Linked DNA regions of Neodiprion lecontei. The protein of the gene in region 2 purifies or fractionates together with the protein of the main gene of each other region. This does not show direct contact. Links are inferred from orthologs where the notes say so. Each region holds a gene or a part of one and is shown on either strand. Other genes may lie near its edges.

Region 1 (6,317 bases), about 41 Mb from region 2:
ATTCAGATCGTTGGAGACGATCTCACAGTGACTAATCCCATCCGGTGAGTTATCTCAAATATATCTTCGGCTTCTCAACATAAACTTTGTGTTTATTTCAATAAAATTCGTGACGAGTTTTTTTTTTTTTTGCTTATTCACTAATCAAATTTTTTTTCTTAGCATCCAGAAGGCTGTCGACTCCAAAGCCTGCAACTGTTTGCTGCTGAAGGTCAACCAAATTGGTAGTGTTACCGAATCTATCAATGCTCACAAGCTAGCGAAGAGCAACGGATGGGGAACCATGGTGTCTCATCGATCGGGAGAAACTGAGGACACCTTCATTGCTGATCTAGTAGTTGGTCTTTCTACCGGCCAGATTAAAACCGGAGCCCCATGCCGCTCGGAGCGTCTTGCAAAGTACAACCAGATTCTTCGTATTGAAGAGGAGCTTGGAGCTGCTGCGAAATATGCTGGAGAGAAATTCCGCAACCCCACCGCCTAAATTTAGCTCGCTAAATTTTTGAAAGAAGTACTATCACAATTTTATCGTACCGTTATTGAGAATGGTCTGCCTTTTCATGTGGAAATATGAACAGAACGATAATGCGTGGTTATAATTTGAAATCAGTTACCTAATCTCGCAAGGCAAGCATTCCCCTGTAATGTTAGATTCGATGAAAAATTATATTCCTGCTCTTAATGTACTAGTCTGCTGTGTATTATCGGCGAAAAATTTTCCTTTTCCATGGATCAGCATACGCTCATTACTCAGTTTTAACAAAATTCTCATTTTATCCATCCCATTACTGTAGATTCTTATTTAATAAATATATTAATGTAAATGTATTACAAAATATAATACCGTGTTATTCAGTGAGCTAAAGTATTTAGGGGCTAGAAGATGATTGGTCGATGAAGCTGATCTAACAATAATCGTTGTGAATTTACGTGAGTAATTATTTCGTGAAACTATAATGTAAAGTGATACTATACATTTTCGCAATTAACGAGTAAATAACGTTAATCATTTAAATTTGTTGTATTGTCTTCTTTCTCGCATCCTTTACACCTCTGATCCAAATTTTATACAACAGTTTTGTGAAGTATAACACATCTAACAAAATTATCAAAATATTGCTATTTTATAGAATTGTAAGAGGTTACAGCTTAAAAAATGAATATTAAGCTCGATCTGGATTGTTCATTTAGTATGAAACAATTTTAAACCTCACACTTAGGTTCAATGAACTCTTACTCATTCTGAAATTCACACTGACAATCGCGAGCACTGGAAGAACCGGACTGGTCTAAGATACTTCGAACATACCGACTGCTAGTAGAAGATTTCTTCGCGAAAAGTGGAGGGTGAGAACGGGTGAATTTTTTGTCGGAAAAGTTCGTAGGAGGTAGGTCTCGACGCATGTTTTGACGTCAGGATTATGCGAGACGTTAACGTCCTCCAAGCTCATTTCTTCAGCAAGTTTGGTAAAGTCCCAAAGCTTCAGTGTCGAATCGAGGGATCCTGACACTAAGATATTACCGTCTCTACTGAAGAACAAGCAATGTACTGTGGCTGTATGGCTGGATAAGGCTGCGACCAAATGTCCGTGCGCTAAATCCCAAATCAGGACTCTGTTATCGGCACCCGCAGTCGCCAGGAAGCGACCTTCCGCGGAAAATGCTAGGGAATATATCGGACCTTTGTGGCCGGTCATCAACCGCACCTGACCTCCAGTAACACAGTCCCACAGTCTGACTGTCCGGTCGCTGGATCCCGTAGCAACGTAATTTGAATTTGGATGGAATTGTACGACCTAAGGATGGAAAGGACAACAAGGAGTTAGATTCGCATTGTACGAAAATTAATTAAATGCAACTTACATCGACATCTGAGTAATGCCCGGAAAAAATTCGGAGAGGCTGATGAGCGTCAGTTGCCCAGAGTCTTGCAGTCTTGTCGTGGGAACCTGTCGCGAAATAGTAACCATGTGGTGAGAATCTCACTGACCAAACAGGGAACAGGTGACCCTTGTAGCAAACAACACAGGTCCACGTATGAAGAGACCATAGCCTTACTGGAACCGAGAAGAGAAATGTCAGGTTGAGCAAATTGTTGAGCAAACTAAGAAAAGATGATACTTTTTCGTAGAATATTTAAGACAATTATCACCAATATTTATACATTGATAAAAACTGAACCTTGATGTTCACTGTGTCATGCTCACCTGTGGTGTCCTCTGATGAAGATAGTAGTAAATTTCTGTCTGGGCTAAACGACAAACTATAAATAGGTCCGCTGTGTCCATATAGGGTTCTCGACGATTCAGCTGTCCTGTCGTCCATCATTCTCACAAGTACATCGTCTTAAGAGAATTATTCAGATTAAAGATAACAGCAAAAACATTAACTTAGAAAAGCCAGAGGCAGATTTTTTTGAAAGGAGAAAGAGTCGCGAGTACCAGCTTCGCGGTCGATGTCTTGTAATTGATCCCCACTTTTCATCAGTCTTAATTTTTGTGGAACCAGGCTCCATACTTTTACTGCGGAATCACTGAAGCCAATGGCCAGCAAACTGGAATCTTCTGCGACTTCTGCAGCAGTAACGCTGCAATTATATGAGCGAAAGTGTCATTGAATCATCGATATGATTTAAAATATTTAATATAAGTCGTACCTGTGTACTGAATTCAATAAAGTATAGAAGCATATTGACGGAAGACTGTCTGGCCCCAATACCACTCTCTTTGAAGCCTCTCTCAATGCTTTAACCTTCTCCAGTTTATCAGCATCTTTCCTAAATACGATCAATCTTTTTAAGCAGCGATACAAAGTCAAATCGATTAGAATCAACAAAGTGCAAAAATAAACTAACAAATTTGGTAGGGGCATTCTTCCGACCGGAGGTGCATTAGGGTCTGATTTAGTTTTCTTAGAAAAGAGTGGATCTTTTTTTGCTTTCTTTTTCTTTGGTTTATCTCCTCCCTCCCCACCGCCATCGTCTTCTTCTTCCTCAGCCGGCGGGACGCACTGAATATCTGGTTCCTTTAAAAGCCCATAATAGACTTTAGCCTTGTTATCTATGGAATTGAAAGGAATCCTTGAAGTTGAAGATCAGATATTTGAACAAATTTAAGACATAGACCATTGATTGCTTTCAAATTATACCTTGCCGCGTAGCTTCCCCCACAACAGCGCCTGACGTTGCTTCAATCTGTTGCTTGTTCCGAGCGACACCTTCGTACATATCAAAGTAAAGATGCTCTTGAATAATATTGAGCAAAATGCTATGTTTTTTCTCTTGAAGATGCCGCTTGAGTATGGAAAGCGTGTCTCGGGACATCCTTATAATAAACTGGTTAGACCTGTAAGAAAGTAATCGTCATTTTCTGTCACAAATTTACCTGTACAGCTTACTTTTCTTATCAACCCCATAGCTCTGATCCTCACTTGAAAGTATCCGTCAGCTCATTACCAGCAATCTGTTCCCGTTTTGTGACATTTGACAATCGCTTCAGATCCTCCTGGTAATATTCCTCCAAATTACCACTGAACTTCTCCAGCAGCTGTTTTGCTTCTCCTGAATGGTTGTTGTAAACAAGTTCCAGGTACATGTGAACCAATACCGGATACAATATTGTGCCAAGTTCATGCTACAGAAAGCGAAAGTAAATGTAAGATAAGGTCGGACAAAAATGCACAAAGAATTGATCGCTTATCGCAAACCTTGTAAATATCCAGAGCTCCTTCGACGAATTTCTTAAGTTCGGTATAGGCTTTCTCATACAGCGCTGGATCACCCTCGCTTTTGTAAGCTGATAGTACGCTGCTAACTTCAGAATCAGTTTGTTGACTATCCTCAGCTGAAACATCCGTCAAGTTTGCTTCCTTTCTAAATAACTCCTCGGTACCCTGGGGAGAAAGCCGAAGCGTATTTTAATCTGACGGTACAGTTTTGTTTACATGTCATATTTGCAATTTGAGGTTAAGTCAACGCTTACCTTTAAATTGTATTTCCGTAACAGCTGCAATACTGCAAGCATTGTGCTTTTCTCGTTGTCCATGGTTGCAGGTTTTTTTTCCCGTCTGCACCGCGTCTGTGATTTAAATTTTGATCCGAGGAATCGAAATCGTCAGACGCGAACGAGGATGCTAGCTATCCGGAGACACGATCAATTTCGCCGCCCCATTTGTCTAGCGCATGTGACACGCAACATGCTGACGATGCTGACCAGTCAGATATATGGTGACTCCGAAACATGCCCCTTGAATAAAATACACCCTCAACTTAGCTGCGTGTCTGGTTGCCGCTTCCATCATAAGCAGGCGTAGGAAACTGCCCGACTTGTAAAAGGACGTTTCCACGCCAGTCCGACATACAGTATCTAGATTTTGAATGTATGGAGTGGTAGTAGTAGGTCATCGTCTGCCAGGGATAGCAACATACCATTAACAATTTTTCATAGAGAATAGAAATAAATCCAATAAAATTACAATCAAACGGGAACAATTATAAGTAAATAATCAGAATTTATAAATGCACAAGTCTTACACGAATTACAACTTAGAATTACCTGTGCAAGAAAGCTCAGCAATATTATTCTGCCTTAGACTTTTTTACAATTGATGAGAATGTCACGTTCTAACATATTTTGTACATATGTTGTACAAATTTCTGAATTCACATAGCAAATGATGTATTGAAATTCTTATGCCTAACACATATTTGAGAAACAATTAATCCACGTAATGATCTACAGAAGTCATCTGTACATCTTTCTATTAATTTTTCGATATCGAGCCATGCTGGAGCATTTATATTCCGAAACTTGTATTATAGAAAAATTTTCAATTTATCAAGACGCGAAGCAGTTATCATGGAGTTCTTTATACATAGCGAGAATGAAAATAAAAATTCTAGATAAAGCGATGAAAACATAGCATGTATATTATTTCTGAACTTCGGAAAGTATGTCAGAGGCAGATCTCGTCAGATGAAAATAATACACAACTCAATGCTCGAAATCCTCGGATCATTCCCTACGAATAGTTTCCTAGGTGCAAGAATATTAAACTGCACAAAGAACATCGATTTTGATCGCAAGCCATCCTTATACCGTAATTGAGATTAATCGCTTATGGTAGAAGCACGTGAACTAAGCGGCGGTGGGGTGGGGCGGAGGGGGGGGGGGGGAGGAGGGGGAAAGATCTGAAAGAACCTACGATCAGATTGGGAGGGAATACCCGGCGTCCTTTAGTTTTTAGTTTAAAAGCGGCTGCGTGAGCGCATTGACCACCAGTTTTATCTATAATTCGGTCCGCGCACTTCTCTCAGTTTTCCCTCACCATGAGTCGGTTTGCTAATTACAAATCGATCATTGTGGTCTTGAGTACAATCGGCTCTCTGGCGATTGGAACTCCCATCAAACTTTCCGAAGAAGCAATTTCCACCACACCAAGTAAGGGTGAGATTATTTGGTTCCGACTTGTTTTTAGTATCCATCTTTGCGCTGAACGAAAATATATTGAACGCGGAAAATGAAATAGATAATGGTACAATTCGTCCGGCTAGAGTTACACAAATAGGAAATTCAACGCGTTTGGGAATTCCCCTGAAAATTAGATGCATTCGTCGTGCGCATCTCATGGCCGTACACGGAAGAAAATTTATTCAGCGTTAACTATTTTCCTTGTCATCTGATGCCTGAAAATTTCAATCAGTAGTTTCTAGTATGTTCCTGCATGGTCTCAATAGTTGGATGGTACAGTATTCTATTTTTATGCACTGCTATTAAAATATATTTCTAAAGCAAAACAAAAACATTAATCGCGTAGTATAGCACGAAGTCCCGCTGCACTTAACAACCTGATTCAAACGTTCCTCTTTATCAGTAATTCATTCCGATTACTCCATTGATAAGAATTTTCAACAGATTTAGGATAATTGATTGAATCGCGTTGTTTTTATGATCTCACCTGATTCACGCGAAAGGTTATCGTTAGAGGATTAATACTGGCACAAAAAAAATCCTTTGATTATCAGGCCTTATCCATGTTTGAAAATTGCGGTTTGATATCAGTAGCGTACTTCACGGCATCTTTTAAGAACAGTGCCTTGGCACGACTTTTTTATCTTCGACAATCGAGCAGAAGTTTTTGTAATTAACGCGATGCAGGTATGAAGATCGTTTACTGTAAACAGTGTTACTTTCAAGTTGTAGTGCGAAGTTTTTCTTCGAGATTTTGTGAAGTTTCTCGTATCGTAATCAATCGCGTCAAGTCAATGAAATTCACGATTAATAGTTTCAAACTCGTTTAGCAGGCATCAGGTGTAAGTT
Region 2 (4,663 bases):
AATTCAGAAAACTTCTTTTCAATAGTAGGAAGGCAAAATTTGCAATTTAAAAACTTCTGTCAAAAAAATATCCTGAATAGTACAAAATGATAATAAAGTGATACAATATATGCAGTGTGATGCATACCTTGCGATACAGAGAAAAACATTCGAGTGACATCTATCGTAAATTCTAAATCAAATCATATGTCCAACGAAAATTAGTTAAAAATGATATCAAATATTACGTCGATGAGAATAAAACATTGCCGGAGGAAAGAAAACGGTTACCAAGAATCATTCCACGTATTTCTTGTAACAAATTGACAATTGAATTTACAGTAAAATATAAATCCAACTTGGACTTGTAACACTTTCCAACAAAGATATGCACGGTATATTGCGCTTCTAAGAAAAAAGGACAAAAAATGAAAGGAAAAACCACTATTCCAATCAACTAAAGTCAATAAAACAGTGCAAATCTACAACGCCACTACATCAAGAGACTCTTACGAGTTATGAGTGTGCGTCACCTGAATGGGTTTTCTTAACGTGGCGAGTGGCGGGCCAGTGAACTGAGTGTTCAGCCTACTTACAGCCGGCACAGAGGTTAGGCGATAAGTTGTGCCTGCGGTCGGAGCAACCACTGCGCTTCCGGCAATACTGTTCGGGGTGACATTCCCTCCCCCAGGGGTACCTGTGGGTGGCGCCGGTCCTACCCTCAGCAATTGGTATTGCCCATTCTCAGTTTTCAAAAGCAGATGTCCCTGGGTTCCAGGTTGAAGACCTTGGAGGGCCTGCAGTGTTATCTGAAATGCCAAATTCCCAAATGTTAAATCGGTTTCATCAAAATCTGGTAGTTTCATTGACAGTGAATGCGTTAACAATCGATCGCTGCTAGGAATAAACTGGCCATTTGTTTCCGCAAACTGAGAACCTTGAATTTGAAGATTATAACAGGAGAAGATTCGGTAGTTTGCAACTTTTGCACATGTATTTTACTTAAAATATAGTTTGAAATCGTCATCGGATGAAAAAATCAATTCTGCATAGCTGAAACCCTAGATAACAAAAATTGTAACATGTTATTCAAACTTATAATGATTTTTTCTTTTTGAATAGCCGATAAACTGAATCTGCGTTTGAGATCATAAAATGGAAATTGTTAAAAAAAAATGAAAATAATAACGATATTGCGCACATCAAAAATGATTCACTGTAAACATGCAGAAATCGGCGCTGACACTTGGTTTGCTCGCTTGAGCAAGAATGAATGGGCGAAACTGTTTCAAGGTTATTGTAAAATAGAAAATAAAAAGACAGTTCTGTGATTGACAAATAAGTCTTGAAAAACACGAGATACATAAAATACCAGTCACTTTTGATATTCTGCAAGGTTATTGGAGGGATTGCAGAAAAGTTGATACCGAAATATTGGCAAGAGCAAATGAATGCGAAAATGATGAATGAAAATGTCGTTAAAAAAGCATCTTACCCCGGGTGCACCAGGTCTGGCACCGACCATGTGTTGTCCAATGACGACCCTCGAGGCAACTTGCTTGCCCTGCTGTTGTCCAGCGACAGGAGTACCGGGCCTCATTGTGTTTACGTTTAAAATTTGGACATTGCTAGGTACTATGGTAGAAGTGACGCCAGCCTTCCCTTGCAGGGTGGTGCTGGTGGCATTCCCAGCCACTGAAACGGGAACGGACATTGGGACGGAAACCATTCCCCCAGGTGTGGCGCTAGTCTTTATAACCAAGGCAGTGCCACCCCCCTGCTGCTTGTTGACATTAGCCGAGGACTGGCTGTTGGCCTGTGTTATAGAGCCGATGTTGTGAGCAAGGCCGGAGGTAGTCTGAAGCACAGTCTGCGTGGTCACCCCTAGACTGCCGTTGGGTAAATGGCCAACTGTTTGGGTGGGGAATGACAGCCTGTTGTTAACGTTAACCACACCTGTGGTGGATATGGTCTGTCCCTGTGAGGGATACACCAGTTTGACAGACTGCTGGTGCTGCTGCTGTTGCTGATGTTGCTGCTGCTGCTGCTGTTGTTGGTGATCGTGTGTTTTGGTTATATTAGTAATGTTCGTTTGTTGATTGGTTGTGACTTGGTTTATGTAGGCAGCAGCGGGAATTCCTGACTGTGGATGCTGTTGCGATGTTGTATGCGCTATCGTGTTCGAGGTGACGACGTTCACCGGCAACAGGGTGCTGGTCGTGATTGACTTGCTCGGGTCCTGGGATATCAGGTTGTTCATCGAAGTAGCACCGCCGTTAGCAACCCCATGTTTCAGTCCCGCGGAGATGATGGTACCCCCGTTTGAAATCCCACTGTTTAACTGACGGTTTTGATTAACCGAACCGGAGTTCACTTGGTGGGTTGAGATCGGCGGCGTTGATGTGACCAACTGCGTCTCGAGCGAACCGACGATCGCGTTTACTGCGGATTCATCGACGTCCGTACTAAGAGCTTCCTCCAGAAACTTAGCTGACGCCATTTTCTTTCAAGCTCCAACTGTAAACTGAACTGCGCATGCGCCTACAGAAAATTATTCCCATCGTGCATTGCCCCTAGCGCAGCTGGAAATTGAATACATCATATCTTCTGTTTACCATCGGGCAGTACACGCGCAAATCGATATTATTCCCCATAGTATCCTCGTACTGTTTACTTCTTGTTTTTTCCTCGCTACTTCTTTATACCGGCTATTTCGACGCTACTCATTTTACGCGTTACGTAACGCAGTGAACGCCTACTAGCCTTGCGTTAATGCCTTTCCCTCCTTTACACCTTCTTTTGATATGGCTGCATGTCAATGAGTAGAACACCAAAACACGTCACCCGCCAAAATGGCCAGCTCGGAAATAGTCAACCAATAAGTCATTTCAAACTCATTTCTGGTCCCGATTAGTTTAAGATTCGCGTAGTCGATTTCGTTCTCGTTTTTTCTTTTTCAATTTCTTTCGTTTAGTTCTTCTCTTATTATTTCCAGATAACATTCAACACAAGTATTTGTTGATGATTCGATAAACAGAAATACAATTGACCATAAACTAACTCATCACACGAGACTGGACACTCGTAAGTTTATACAAATGATTTAGCTTTGTGCGTTCACAAAGTCATTTCAACGCCGCAGTTGCTGTCCCATCGATACAGGAGGGTTTCTATTATTACTGCGACGTAAAGCCACGGCCATGCGAATCCACCTTTATTATGCCCGGTAAAACAGCTGCACTTTCGAATGTTGCAATTTCGAAACGCCAACTCAAAACTTGGACTGTTATAGCTATTACAACAAGCTTTGTTTGAATGATTTGCTCTCGAGATATTTTATATTATAATATCTATGTTACAATCATCCGATTTCTACATACGACAAATTTTATTAAATATTTCGATAAATTAAAACGTATCAAATCACTATTGAAAACTATTACAAATAACAACTATACAAAACAATATCTTTATTAAAAATCATTTCCAGTCAAGGAACAACAATATTTTCATATCAACGATACTAATTCATGAAAATTCTGTGTATACTTGATATTTTAAATTTACTCGAAACACTAGTAGTGGCATTAATGTGGGACACTGTACAAGGCTTTCGTTTTGAAAAAGACCCCTCATTGAGGAGAAAATGAGATTTGATATGCAACACGACTTGTAATACATGATAAAAAAGTACTAGTAGCAAAATGCTGTATACACTTACATTACCCAAAAAATTGGCATGAAATAAATAAGATATGTAAGACGAAATAAAAATGAAGTACCTATTGAGAGTTCCCAGTAAAAATTCACCATACCAAAGAAATGAAAAATAAATGAGTATACTGCTACCCTTGCACATATTGGAATCTCATCGATCCGAAGAATGTCAGGGTGTGGGGGACCAATGTGGATACGTTTTTATAACATTGTATAGCGCGTCACCAGGGCTGAGAGTTCTGGAAACCTGTCGATGACCTAAAAGCTTATAATTTCTTGCAATCCTCCCAGTCGTGACACCGAGGTCTACAAGTTGTTGAAGTGCGTGCAGCTGATGTTTCGATGGGGTGACGGTATTATACGTCCCAATGAAAGAGATTCCGATACTTCTGGCATTGTAATCGTACGAATGAGCCCCAACGTAGTCCCAGTTACGGCCAATGTATACGTAACCATCCCCGCCAATCAGAAAGTTGTAGGCAATGTCGCACCAATTTCGAGATTCTATGTGATAACATTGTACTAATCGGACTCGATACACACATGACGATTGCGTGTGGCAAAAATCAGTTGCAGTATGGCTGATGATCACGTAGGGGACTGGATGCTTCAACCTTGCCGCGGGTTCCACTGGTGGCTGTGCGCCCCATTCATCTCGTGTAACAAATCTAATCATCGTGCCCAACGGGAGGCCTACGAAAATTGAAATAACATTAAAAACAGAATTTTTAATTAATGTAAAATGATTTCACGAGGCATTTATAACGTTGGGATATGTTCATAACTTCATTCAATATGCGAAAATTTTGTTCGTTACCATTAATGTCTACCGATGAGTCGGGAATTTTTGTAACAGTGGAGATTGATGGCATATTTAAATCTTGCGAGTATAATGCCATATTGACAACCACCGCAGCGACGACGCAGGATCCCATAGCACACATCAGAGCTATGGATCGCCACGATA

What was found. Proteins that work in one complex are often made in the same cells at the same time.
Region 1: the proteins of transcription initiation factor TFIID subunit 4 (region 2) and transcription initiation factor TFIID subunit 5 purify together in Drosophila melanogaster (affinity purification with western blotting; 3 studies listed by BioGRID). This does not show direct contact. The link is inferred for Neodiprion lecontei from reciprocal best matches to the Drosophila melanogaster genes Taf4 and Taf5.

Annotation. Positions count from the first base shown.
Region 1 is NC_060261.1:43,189,891-43,196,207, reverse strand, and holds transcription initiation factor TFIID subunit 5, read right to left. Parts: upstream 4,408-6,317; 5' UTR 4,044-4,407; coding exon 3,981-4,043; intron 3,892-3,980; coding exon 3,706-3,891; intron 3,633-3,705; coding exon 3,430-3,632; intron 3,345-3,429; coding exon 3,148-3,344; intron 3,060-3,147; coding exon 2,855-3,059; intron 2,777-2,854; coding exon 2,657-2,776; intron 2,588-2,656; coding exon 2,442-2,587; intron 2,346-2,441; coding exon 2,208-2,345; intron 2,058-2,207; coding exon 1,864-2,057; intron 1,797-1,863; coding exon 1,290-1,796; 3' UTR 515-1,289; downstream 1-514. Other genes in the region: enolase, read left to right, coding at 1-44, 163-484; peptidoglycan-recognition protein SC2, read left to right, coding at 5,327-5,444. UniProt on the Drosophila melanogaster protein: TFIID is a multimeric protein complex that plays a central role in mediating promoter responses to various activators and repressors. May play a role in helping to anchor Taf4 within the TFIID complex.
Region 2 is NC_060261.1:2,569,396-2,574,058, forward strand, and holds the start of transcription initiation factor TFIID subunit 4, read right to left. Parts: upstream 3,042-4,663; 5' UTR 2,480-3,041; coding exon 1,475-2,479; intron 789-1,474; coding exon 513-788; intron 1-512. Other genes in the region: uncharacterized protein LOC107216688, read right to left, coding at 3,866-4,389, 4,514-4,663. UniProt on the Drosophila melanogaster protein: TFIID is a multimeric protein complex that plays a central role in mediating promoter responses to various activators and repressors.